3 linked regions of the Callithrix jacchus genome follow. The protein of the gene in region 1 interacts with the protein of each later gene in a biochemical or structural test. Links are inferred from orthologs where the notes say so. Each region holds a gene or a part of one and is shown on either strand. Other genes may lie near its edges.

Region 1 (3,550 bases):
CTGATAAAGCTAAAATAACCATGTGGATATAACAGAGGCCAGTGTGAGGAATTCCACCATAGAGACTACAAACTGACCAGAAAATATTTTTAGGAAATCTTTAGTAGTGGGCTCTTTCAACAACAAACCTATCTAGAATTAACAGAGTAAAATGAGCAGGGTAAAGGTATACGTTAGACATTTCGTTTTAGCTTGAGAGACTATAGGGAGAAAAGGGTCATCCTCTACATTAGCTTCCTTACAGAGCTGCTTGCTGTCCAGCCTCTTAGAGTCATTGCTGGGTAGAGTTTGATTTACTTCCTTCACATTATTTAAAATTTGTACTCAACCACCATCACCACCATCACCTCTCCCTCTCATTCCCTCCTCTCCCAGCCTTCACTAGAGACCATTTCTGGATTGGTTTAAACAGGCAACTAACCTTGCCATTATGATTAAATGTTTGTCAGTGACAAATGTTTATATCTATTGAGACTTCTCAAAGTTCAGTGACAAATGCCTTATATCTATTGAGACTTCTCAGAGACTCTGGATATACTCTATTATGTCTGACCTTAAAGTATTGAAATTGGCATGTAGTAACAGATATCATAGATACTTAAAAATAACTTAAGGACTTAAGACATACTTTCTTAGTGTCTTTTCTATCTTTTCCTTCTCTAGCAAGGCAGAAGAATAGTTCCAGTGATTTTCTTTTGGTAAAAACCAATTTGTATCTTATGTTATTTCATTGTTCTTATTTTATTTCATTCTAGGTCCAAGGGCAGCCATTAATGGTGCAGGTCAGTGGAGGCCAGCTAATCACATCAACTGGCCAACCCATCATGGTCCAGGCTGTCCCTGGTGGACAAGGTCAAACCATCATGCAAGTACCTGTTTCTGGAACACAGGGTTTGCAACAGGTGAGTAGTATTAAAAAATGTTGAGTACTATATCAGATGAGACGTTTCAAAGAATAGATTGTTACAAACTGATCATTGATGTTGCATTTAACTGCTTCCTGACCCACATTTTGCATTTAGTTGATTTTCTGCTTTTGTAGTTAGTACCAGTGATACAAACTAGAACTATGCAGAAATTGGACAGCTCCAGTAAAGATTAAGATATTAGGCATGAGCTTGAATTGCTATAAAGTATGTAAAGAGGTTAGAATCTAGTTTATAGTATATTTTATTTTAAAAGAAGCAAAAATGAATATTCTTAGAAAGTTAGAAAAATAACAAAATAAGCAAAAATGTGTCAATTAAGTAGAAAACTGACATATAGAAAGGGTAAGTAAAATCTAGATTGTTTAAACAGACCAATAAAACAGGTAAATCCAGTTGAAAGACGGATTGAGAAACACAAAACAAAAGTAAGCAAAGATGTAGAAGAGATTAAAGGAAGGTCAGGCGGGGTGGCTCATGCCTGTAATCCCAGCGATTGGGGAGGCCAAGGCAGGTGGATCACTTGAGACCAGGAGTTCAAGACCAGCCTGGCCAACAGGACAAAATCCCATCTCTACTAAAAATACAAAAAACTGGTGTGGTGGCACGTACCTGTAATCCCAGCTACTCGGGAGGTAGAAGCATGAGATTTCTTGAACCTGGGAGGTGGAGGTTGCAGTAAACCAAGATTGTGCCACTGCACTCCAGCCTGGGCACCAGAGGAAGATTCTGTCTCAAAAAAAAAAAAGAAGAGATTAAAGGAAATATGTGGAAGTGTTACATACAACACTGTGGCATCAAATTTTAAAAATTAGATATATCTCATCAGGATGGCAAGAACCAAAAAGAGTCACTATATCCACTGCTAGGATGGATGTAGAGAAAAAGAATTAATCATTATTTTTGGTAATTTCAAACGGTGAAGTTATTTGGGAAAGGCATCTCACTATCTGTTAAATACAATGAACACTTGAGCTAGCAGTTACACTTCTGAGAATCCTATAGGAAGAAAAGCATCAGTACTAGGGAGACATTACAAAGACACTTGTCATAGCATTGTACTAGCAAAAAATAAAATTGTAATCTGAGTGTCCATTAATAGAATAAGGAAATGGTTGGAATAAATCTTAATATATTCCCATATGGACTACTGCATCATCATTAAAGGAAATGAACTATGGGCTGGGCGCAGTAGCTCATGCCTGTAATCCTAGCACTTTGGGAGGCTGAGGCAGGTGGATCACCTGAGGTCAGGAGTTCGAGACCAGCCTGACCAACATGGAGAAACTGCATCTCTACTAAAAAATAATTAGCTGGGTATGGTGGAGCATGCCTGTAATCCCAGCTACTCGGGAGGCTGAGGCAGGAGAATCACTTGAACTCGGGAGGCAGAGGTTGTGGTGAGATTGTGCCATTGCATTCCAGCCTGGGCAATAAGAACAAAACTCCATCTCAAAAAAAAAAAAAAAATGAAATGAACTATTGAAGTGGGTGGGTTAATATTGAAATATTTTTAGTGAAAATAATTTGCAGAGAAATAGTGTGTGATCTCATCTTTGTAATTCATAACCAAACCCCCATGAGTATATGTTTATAGACATGGAAAAGGGAGTATGAGGGAGAACTATTAGCTTTTTACTCTACGTAAATCTTTATCTTGTTTCAACAGTTATCGCAACCACATTAACGTCTTAATTTTCTGGAGGAATTTCAGTTGAAAAAAGCAACCATGATCACACTGCTTATAAATCAAACTTGTGCTTTTTACGTATTCTCTTGTGTTTTTATCATAATTTTTTGGCATAATTGTACCATGCATGCGAGGTTGTTTCATTGTTGTTATTGTTGGTTTTTTTTTAATTCTTTCATAATGTTCAGTCAATTTGATGAATCAGAATTTCTAATTTATAAAATATAGTTAAGGATTTTGGTTTTCATTTGCTTTTGTTGGTAAACATACTTGGGCATGATAGTTTTATTTTTCAATTGAATTCTCAGGGTAATTTCTTTGGATTGGGGATTGCTTGGCAAAGGGTAAGAGCATATTTGAGCCCATTGGCATATTTTTGCCAAGATAGAATTATAGTTGGGATTAAAAATAGTTTTTCCATTTCTCCATGCATGAATATATGAGGCTTTAAATATCTTCTTAGCATGTGCTTTCCTCAATTTCCCATTGCTACATCCTTTCTGTTCCTCTGTCTTTGCTTCTGTTCTTCTCTCCAGCCCTGCTTGCTGTGCCGCCTTCTCCACTGTTCAGTAGAGACAATGTGGTATAGTTAGAAATAGTATACTGTGAGTGTAGTGATCCAGCTTTCATCACCAGGTCTGCCATTAAACAAGCATTCTAATCTTGGCCAAGTTATTTAATTATCTGTTTGCTCATCCAAAAATAAAATTTATATGAGATGACATCTAGGGTTCATTCTAGCTCTAAATTCTGTGATTTTTATAGGGTTTTATTTTGCTATAAGGAACCTTGAAAGAGTTGTTTATTTCCCTGCTTCCAAGTAGGGCTATAACTAACTGGGCAGAAAAATATATATTCTGTTACATAAATAAAGCTCTAGGTGAGATTCCATAGCCTACCTTATAATGCTTTATGTATAAGAGGTTTTTTTCTC
Region 2 (4,224 bases), on another chromosome or scaffold:
TTCCCTGTTAAAAACAACTCCTGCTCGTCTTCACTCCCGACAGAAAAACAAATGACTTTTTCAGAATAATTTTTCAGCAACAAAGATAATTAATGTAGCACCATATAACACAAATCAAAGCTTTCAGACGAAGATTGAGACACAATGACCAATACTAACAAATCTAAAGAGCTCTTATATATGAACACACACACACAGCCCAAATCAAATATTCACTGTTCCCTGGGGGGAAACTGCTGCTTCTTCCCTAACCGTGAACCGCTGTATATTTTCCAATTTTGTGATTTTTCCTTTCTCTGCTATCACATTAACCTCCAAGAGAATTGTTTCTTTTAAGTTACATGGACTCCCAACCTAAACACATCACAACTCTCTCAGCCTTTTCTTACATTTTCTCTCAAAAATTAGCTCTTCACATTTTTTTTAATAGCTGGGCTGAGTTGACAGAAAAGAGCTGTGGAATTCCTGCTGTCGGATATCGTCCCTGTATCCTCTTTTCTGATCCCTAGTCCCTGTACTAATTTCCCTACCTGCTGTCTCTCATTGACGACTTCTCAGCTGCTGAATCCTTCACTAACCTAAGTTGAGGATATCAAATGGAATATTTTCCTTCTCAGGGGCTATGCTCTTTCCTTAGTTACTCACAGAGGGGAAAGAAGGACAGGAAAGGTACTAAAACAAAGAATTGCCAAGTCCCTTTACTTCCAACTTTGGTGTAAAAATATAAGGAAAAGACATCTGCCAGGGCTCTTCTTTCCTGCCCTTAGACCTCGTTCCTCTCACACCTCCTTCCCAGCCCTTTATTTCCCTTGAGGAATTAGTAGATCGTTCACTGTGAGCCCTGAGGCTTGGAGGATTCCCCTGGGTCAGCCTCCCCACACTTCCGCGCCCCTACCATCCTCTTTAATTAACTTCTGCCTAAATCCCAGGGCTTCCTCACAATCGTAATTGGGTTAAGGGCTCAACTCCCAGCCTTTCCCAAAGTTGGGGCACGGCCTGGCCCCGAAACGGGTGCGTACAGTCTTCCTTGAACTGGAGGTATAGACTTCTCCCGAAGGGTTTGCTGGGGCTCCAACCTCAGTCAGTGCGCTCAGCTCCAGTAAGAGAATTTCTCCTTACTCTCAGGGAGACTGAGTCCCCACGAGGCCGCCACACTCCCCCGGAGGACAGCGCTCCAGACCTCCCCTAGGACTCCCAACATCACTGGGGTGCTCCCTCCCGCGGCGCCCTCCGCAGTCTTCACTCCCCTCAACAATCCTAAGTTACTCAGTCCTCACCAAGGCAGAGGGCTAAAATTTTCCCTCAAGAGAAACCCCCGCCCCCAAGCTCTTTCGGCGGCGGAGACATTCAGAAAGAGTGAGGGAGGCTGTGGGTCAGTTCCTCTGCGGCGACTGCCCAACCGCGAGGCAGGCCCCGTCCCTCCCCCTCAGATGCCCCGCGCCGGGTCCGCCCCGCCACCCGCCGCAGCGAGCGGGCTCAGCCCCGGGGGTCTCTGCTTTGAGGCCGCCCTCCCCACGCCGGGCCCCCCGCCACTCGCCTTTCCCGTGCCGGCCGCGGACTCTGAACTCCGGTTCCCACCCGCAGCCCGGAGTCTCCGGGCCCGCTGGTCGCGGAGCCGGCTCGCGCCACTACCTGCAGGGGCCGCCGCGCCTCTCAGCGCCACGCCGCCGCCATCTTGCATTTCAAACCGGCTGCACTTTTCAGGGAGTCAACTCTGACCTGTGAACCCTAAACCCGGAACCGCTCGGCGGGCCCGAAAAGGGGCCTCAGCAGGTCCGTGGCCCGCGGAGCGTGGGGACCCAGGGTGGGGGTGCGAGGAGAGGCGCGCGCCCCAACGGCCGTCCGGGGGCGGAGGGGGAGAGAAGAGAGCCGGCCGAGGCAGGGCCCTCCACCGTGCGCGTCCTCCACGCGCCCCCACCCCGTACGGCGCCGGCCTCCCCAATCCCAGACCCTGCTGTTCCACTGGGGTCTGACCCCGACCCCTACCCCGGGGATTGGCGCACCGCGGGAGGTAGGAACCGCCCCGCCCCCCTGTCAACGAAGCCCCGCCCTGGGCTGAGGAGGCTCCGCCCCCTGTCAGGAGAAGCTCCGCCTTCCCAGGGCTCTAAATGGCCCCGCCCCTTGCCGGCTACCGCTCCGCCCGCTGTCGACAGAAGCCTGGTCTTCTCTCTGGTCTACACAGAAGGCAGCTTGCCTTCTTTGCGCTCCGCCTTCCTAATGTTACTGCTGGATTGTGAGAGGTAAGCATGCTGCCTTCCACTGAAACGCCCCTTATCATCACACGCCCATCCCCCGGGGCTACACGACCCAGGCCCCGCCCCTTTGGGCGGAAGCCCCGCCCTTAGGAGGCAGCTGCGAGTCCAGCCCCGAGCCGCGCGCCTTGTCAGAAGTCGCCGCGCCCCGTGTCAGCGGCAGCTCCACCTCTTTTCGCTACGTACCTCTCTCCTCTGCGGGCAGCAGCTCCACCCGCAGACACCAAAAGTTCAGTTCAACTGCACTCGCAACCGCCGGCTCAGGCGGAGCCACTCTCTGCCCCTCAGACGCCCTCCTCTCCGCTAACAGCTACTCTCTCTTCCGGAGGCTTCTTTCCGAGTCGAGGGCTTCACATACCGACGGCTTCCAGGGAACCAGCCCCGCAGCCGGGCCAGCGAGGTCCCGGGCTTTCGGAAACACCGCTTGGCGTCGCCGCCCCTCGCCACCTCCTTTTCCTTTCAGCCCACACTGCCGTCACAACGCAGAGGGACATAACCAAAGCCGAGAGCAGCGACCCACCCTCCAGCGGCTCCACACGCCGGTCCCTAGACTCTCGAGAGCTCCTGGGCGCCTTGACTTTCACTCCCCGCCCCCATCCCAGTCGGGGACCCTTTGTGCTTTGACAGCAGAGCTCCGCTGAGCCACATTAATCCTAAAAGATGGAGTTGCTTCAAGTGGAAGTCTGATTTTTTTTTTTTTTTTTGAAACGGAGTCTCACGATGTCGCCCAGGCTGGAGTGCAATGGAGGCGCGATCTCAGCTCACTGCAACCTCCGCCTCCTGGGTTCAAGCCATTCTCCTGCCTCAGCCTCCCAAGTAGCTGGGATTATAGGCGCCCGCCACCACGCGGGGCTATTTTTTTGTATTTTTAATAGAGAGAGTGTTTCACCATGTTGGCCAGGCTGGTCTCGAACTCCTGACCTCAAGTGATCTACCGGCCTCAGCCTCCCAAAGTGCTGGGATTACAGGCGTGAGCCACCACGCCCGGCCATAGGATCCAGTTGTTGAAATCAGGGTTCTATAATGTTCTTTTTATTTGTATATTTCATCTTAGAATCCTAAAACGTATGTACAATGAAGCTTAATGATCTTATAAGTAAAGGTGTTCAACCCTGCCACATTCAATGCCCTGTATTGACAAGAAAAATTATAACACTGCTTTACTCTTGTGGAGTTAAATTCCTAATGCAAATACCTCTATAAATAATTTCAAGAAACTAATGTGATGTTCTAATAAAGGTGAAAAAAGAGAAAGTCGTTTATAATAAAATACTGTATGTACTAATATCAAGAAAAAATTTAAAATAACAGTTTTCACAATGCAAATACTCTGACAATAGAATTGCAAAACAAAAACTGCCCCCGCAAAATTTCAATATGCCCCCAAGGGGCAGTACTGCCCTCACTGGGAACCTCTTCAGGAAATGCTTCAGATAGATTCATTCTTTTGTCTACACATTTAGTGACTAGTTTGTGTGTGTGCCGGTATATACCAGGCACTGTGGGTATGTACAGCTGACTTAGGCAACATTCCTGTCTTCCAGGAACATGTGGTCTACTAGCCAAGCAAAAAACAGGAGCATAAAAATGTCTCAAAGTGGGCCAGGCGTGGTGGCTCACGCCTGCAATCCTAGCACTTTGGGAGGTCGAGGTGGGCGAATTGCCTGAGCTCAGGAGTTCGAGACCAGCCTGGGCAACACAGTGAAACCCCATCTCTACCAAAATGAAAAAAAAAAAATCAGCCAGGCATAGCCACCTGCACCTGTAATCCCAGCTCCTTGGGAAGGCTGAGGCAGGAAAATTGCTTAAACCCAGAGGCAGAGGTTGCAGTGAGCTGAGATTGAATTACTGGACTCCAGCCCAGGTGACAGAGTGAGACTCCATCTCAAAAAAATAAAAATAAAAAAAGTCCCAAAGTGAAAGGTGAGAAGAGACCCCTTTAGGGACATGGAGCTGTTGACTGTAACTCCAC
Region 3 (4,163 bases), on another chromosome or scaffold:
TGGATGTTCAGAGCATCAGACCCCTGCAGCCCACTGACCCTCTGGGGTGTCTGGCCTTGAGAGTTGGTCCCTGATGATCCACTGGGAGCAAAGTTCATAATTCCCATGTTGCTGGTGGTAGTAGTAGTTGAGTAGCTATTGGCATTGGTGAAAAAGGAGCTGGAACTGGGTTGTGATGACACCAAGCTGGCAGAACTGATGGTAGTCCCTGAGGTGACAGGCTGTGAGCCACTCTCCTGGGACCCAGAGCTGCTGATCGTGACTGCCTGAGAGCTCGGAGTCAAGGTAGCTGCAGAAACGCTGTTGACAGGTAGCAAGGTGATGTTCCCATTCAGGGCCACTGGTACATTGGTCACATACTGAGTCTGTCCTGAGAGTACATTATTAGCTAGGCCTTGGAGGGGGACAGCCTGCTGGAGTAGGTTTGGCATAGCAGCAATAATGTTGCCTCCACTTCCTCGATTTGTGATAATCTGTTGGTTTGCACCTGGTATGATCTGTATTTGACCAGAACCATCCTGCTGCACTTGGGTCCCAGTGGCAGCAAATTGCAGCTGCTGCCCATCAACAGTCTGGAACTGTGGGATTACTTGATACTGAATGTTAGGCATCACTCCAGGTAGTCCTGTCAGAACTTGCTGGTTCTGTAAGTTGGGAGTGGCAGCCACAACATACTGCCCACCAGAGACTGTGCGATTCTTGGAAGATTCATTGCCACTGCTGCCATTGGTACTGTTGCCACTCTGTTCCTTTGAGGTAGGGGTAGCCCCAGAGGAGGAAGAGATGATCTGCCAGCCATTGGCACCCTGTGAAAGTTGTGTGGCTGTGAGGTCAAGCTCACCTGTTCCCCCTGACTGACTTGGGCCCTGGGAGTTGTTGCTGTTCTCATTGGGTGACTCAATTCTGCTGCAAGTTGCTGCCAGCAGAGCCAAAGGGGATGGCTGGGACTCCTGGCCGAAAATAAGGGAGAGGAAAGGAGTTAGTGACACCCAGCTGCCAGCCTAGGGGGCAGTATACAACAAATAAAAAGCAACGTAGTGCAGACAAGGAGCAAAAAGCAGAAACAAAAAGCTGACCTATCTGTATTGCTGAAACTCCTGTCTTTGGGGATCTCCAATCTCTGTGCTTACTTCCTTACCTATAAACTGGTTTAGTCCCTCCCTAAAAAGCTTTCTGTGAAGAGTAAGGCAACTATCTAATAATATTTACATCCTCTGAACACCTTCCCCACTCTGTGATGATCACTTACCTGCCCTCCTCCTCCAGTGCTGCTGCTACTGCCTGTGCTGCTGCTGCGAGCCTGTGAAAAGGCACCACCATTACCATTGCCCCCATTATTGCCACCAACTCCTTTCTCAATCTTCACCACAGCTGTCATTTCATCCATGGAGTGATCTTGGTCTGAAAGTATTAAAAAACAAGCAACTTAAACTGGAGGGAAGAAAAGAAGTAGGAAGGATAAAAGGAGGCTATGATGAAACAGCAATGACTAACAGGAAGGCAAAAGGCGCCAGTATAAAGAAAATGGATTAGAGGACAGAGGGGAGCTGCAGGGCATGCAAGACATGAAATAGGCTCAATGGTGCCAAAAGTGGGCCTCACTTCTCCCTTGCACAAAATTAAACTAAGAAAACATTCAAAAAGTGCTTTGGGAATAGGAAATGTGAAGGATGGTAGGCATGTTGAAAGAGTTTCAAAATGAGAAAAAGTATCCTGGGGGAAACAAAAGAAAAGAACAGGTAAGGCAAAAAACAACATGTGGGTGGATGGAAAGCTTGCTAAAATTAAGGTTAAAAGAGATGGAAAGGCCGGGCGCAATGGCTCACGCCTGTAGTCCCAGCACTTTGGGAGGCCAAGGCAGGCAGATCACCTGAGGTCGAGAGTTCAAGACCAGCCTGACCAACATGGAGAAACCCTGTCTCTACTAAAAACACAAATTAGCCGGGCGTGGTGGCGTATCCCTGGAATCTCAGCTACTCGGGAGGCTGAGGCAGGAGAATCACTTGAACCTGGGAGGCAGAGGTTGCAGTGAGCCCAGATCTCACCATTGCACTCCAGCCTAGGAAACAAAAGCAAAACTCCAACTCAAAAAAAAAAAAAAGAAAAAGAAATGGAGAAAGAAAAATCCAAGTGTGAAAAGTAACAAGAGGAGAGTGAAAAGGGAGGGAAAAAAAAGTAAAAAGTGTGAGTAGGAAAGCATTTGTGAATACTGATAAGGGACTAAAGGGGTCTACGGATTAGTAATCAGGAGGTTTCGGGGCGGAGGGCGGGCCCTCAGGGAAAGGGCGGTTTCGGGGTGAGGGGCGTGGAAAGGGCGGGACGGTGGGGGGGAGGCGAAGGGAAATCTACGGAAAGTGGGGGGAGGAGGGCCTTGGAGCAGGGGCGGACCAGGCCGGCGGTTGGCCCGGGCGGGGCCTTCACTGCTCGGGCCGCCCCCGCGGCTCCAGCCCACGGCGGGAGGAGCCTTAGGCTGTCGGCCGAATAGTGGGGGGTAAGGCCCGTCCCCCGTGGCCGGGGCGGGCAGGGGGCGGGCGAGGCCACGCTGCCCCCTCCCCCGGGGCGGGCGGCCCATCCCCCTCCTCCTCGGAGGCCCCGTCACTGCCCCGTCTCCCTCCCTTCCCTCCGCCCCGGGCGGGACCTAGGCCTCCGCCGCCGCCTCCCGCCCGCCCCCCCCTCCCGGCGGGGATCGCCCGGTCGGCCCTCGCGCGCGCCCCCTCATTCCCCTCCCACCCCTAAGCTTGGAGTGGACTCATCCTTACCGCTCATGGTGGCAGCTGAGGGACAAGCTCAAGGGGGTCCTGTCGGGGGGGGTTGGGGGGGGCCGGGAAAAACGCGGACGCTGACGAGGCAAGCGAACCCGGACCGGACAGGGAGGGGGGGGGTAAGGAGGAGGGAGCAGCGCGCCACAAGCCCAACCTAGGCTCCGCCCCTTCGCTGCTGCCCCGCCCAATGAGGGAGGGGGAAAGGAGGGACTTGCAGAAGAAAGACGGTGAGATAATCCAATGGCAAGAAAAGCTTGCTCTCTAAGGCGTGTATGACTAAGTTGCGTGCCTGGTGTCCGCCCAAAAAGACTGTCCTCTCAGTATTAAAAGCCAATGAAAGATGCAGGAAGTGAAGATGGGCGGGAACTGAAAGTGATTGGCTTCAAAAAAAACCAGTCAACCGGCAGGCGGGCTCCCTGAGACGTAGGGATAGGGAAAACTTTGATAGGAATGACAGAACAACGGCCAACCAGAGTCCGGGATGTGCTTGGGCAAAATCCTAGTGGGAGGAGAGGTAAGAAGTAGGCAGGAATATAATAGGATGAAGCTGATTAAAACCAATCAGAAATCAGGCGGGCAGCCAGGGAAGTTATGATTGGATTAAGACTGAAAAGAGACAGGAAAGGACGCATATTGACGTGAACTAAAAGCCAATTAAACGCCGAATTAACTCTGAGGGCGGAAACTTGGAGCGGGCAGAGGAGAATTGGCTGCTCCCTCAGTTATTCAATCCAATGAGGAGACGAAGTAAGCCTGGCACCGCCTCCTAGTTGGCCAATGGGAGTTACTGGAGCCGCCCATCATGAGGGAGGGAAGAGGGCTGTGCCAAGAGGAGACCGTCGCCATATTGGCCCTCTTCGGGGGACGTCGTTGCATGTATTTAGTTGGACGCTTTAGCGGAGCCCTGCGGCTCAACAGGCGTTGGAGCCAAGGCAATCGGCGCGCAGTTCTGCCTCAACACCAGGACTTGTTTGAGTCTTCATTTAACTGTCCCTATGAATAACGTACCTCTCAAATCTTAAACCCTCCCGGGGCGGGCAGACAGGCAGTCAGATGCATCATCTCGCCGCAAGCCTTGCTAGTGCAGGCGGGAGATCTGGGAACAGCGCTCACCAAATAAGTTAATACTGAGCTGACCAATATGCAGAGTCTCCGTAAGAGTCGAGAAAACGCCATTTTATTAAGTTCCCCCAGACAAAGGCTCTAACCACTTACGGCTGGTTAACTTTTCAAGAGCTTTGAGGCTAAGGTGCAAATAAGTCACTTCCATTTTTCTCCCTTAATAGTAAATACCGCCTGTGCATAAAGCAAGATAGCTGAGCTCCTGCTTTTTGCAATCACGAAGGTTAAGAAACTTTACTGCAGGCACCTGGATTTCCGGCCTCCACTTGTATCCTTGTT

Evidence for each region.
Region 2: the proteins of NFYA (region 1) and ZHX1 form a complex in vitro, tested with the Homo sapiens proteins (2 studies listed by BioGRID). The link is inferred for Callithrix jacchus from reciprocal best matches to the Homo sapiens genes NFYA and ZHX1.
Region 3: the proteins of NFYA (region 1) and SP1 form a complex in vitro, tested with the Homo sapiens proteins (2 studies listed by BioGRID). The link is inferred for Callithrix jacchus from reciprocal best matches to the Homo sapiens genes NFYA and SP1.

Annotation. Positions count from the first base shown.
Region 1 is NC_133505.1:49,571,579-49,575,128, forward strand, and holds part of NFYA (nuclear transcription factor Y subunit alpha), read left to right. Parts: intron 1-755; coding exon 756-902; intron 903-3,550. UniProt on the Homo sapiens protein: Component of the sequence-specific heterotrimeric transcription factor (NF-Y) which specifically recognizes a 5'-CCAAT-3' box motif found in the promoters of its target genes.
Region 2 is NC_133517.1:74,097,235-74,101,458, reverse strand, and holds the start of ZHX1 (zinc fingers and homeoboxes protein 1), read right to left. Parts: upstream 2,801-4,224; 5' UTR 2,439-2,800; intron 2,274-2,438; exon of another isoform or gene 2,195-2,273; intron 1,694-2,194; exon of another isoform or gene 1,538-1,693; intron 1,404-1,537; exon of another isoform or gene 1,278-1,403; intron 579-1,277; exon of another isoform or gene 531-578; intron 1-530. UniProt on the Homo sapiens protein: Acts as a transcriptional repressor. Increases DNMT3B-mediated repressive transcriptional activity when DNMT3B is tethered to DNA. May link molecule between DNMT3B and other co-repressor proteins.
Region 3 is NC_133510.1:66,168,782-66,172,944, forward strand, and holds the start of SP1 (transcription factor Sp1), read right to left. Parts: upstream 2,801-4,163; 5' UTR 2,767-2,800; coding exon of another isoform or gene 2,760-2,766; 5' UTR 2,573-2,759; coding exon 2,389-2,572; intron 2,317-2,388; exon of another isoform or gene 1,871-2,316; intron 1,402-1,870; coding exon 1,250-1,401; intron 951-1,249; coding exon 1-950. UniProt on the Homo sapiens protein: Transcription factor that can activate or repress transcription in response to physiological and pathological stimuli.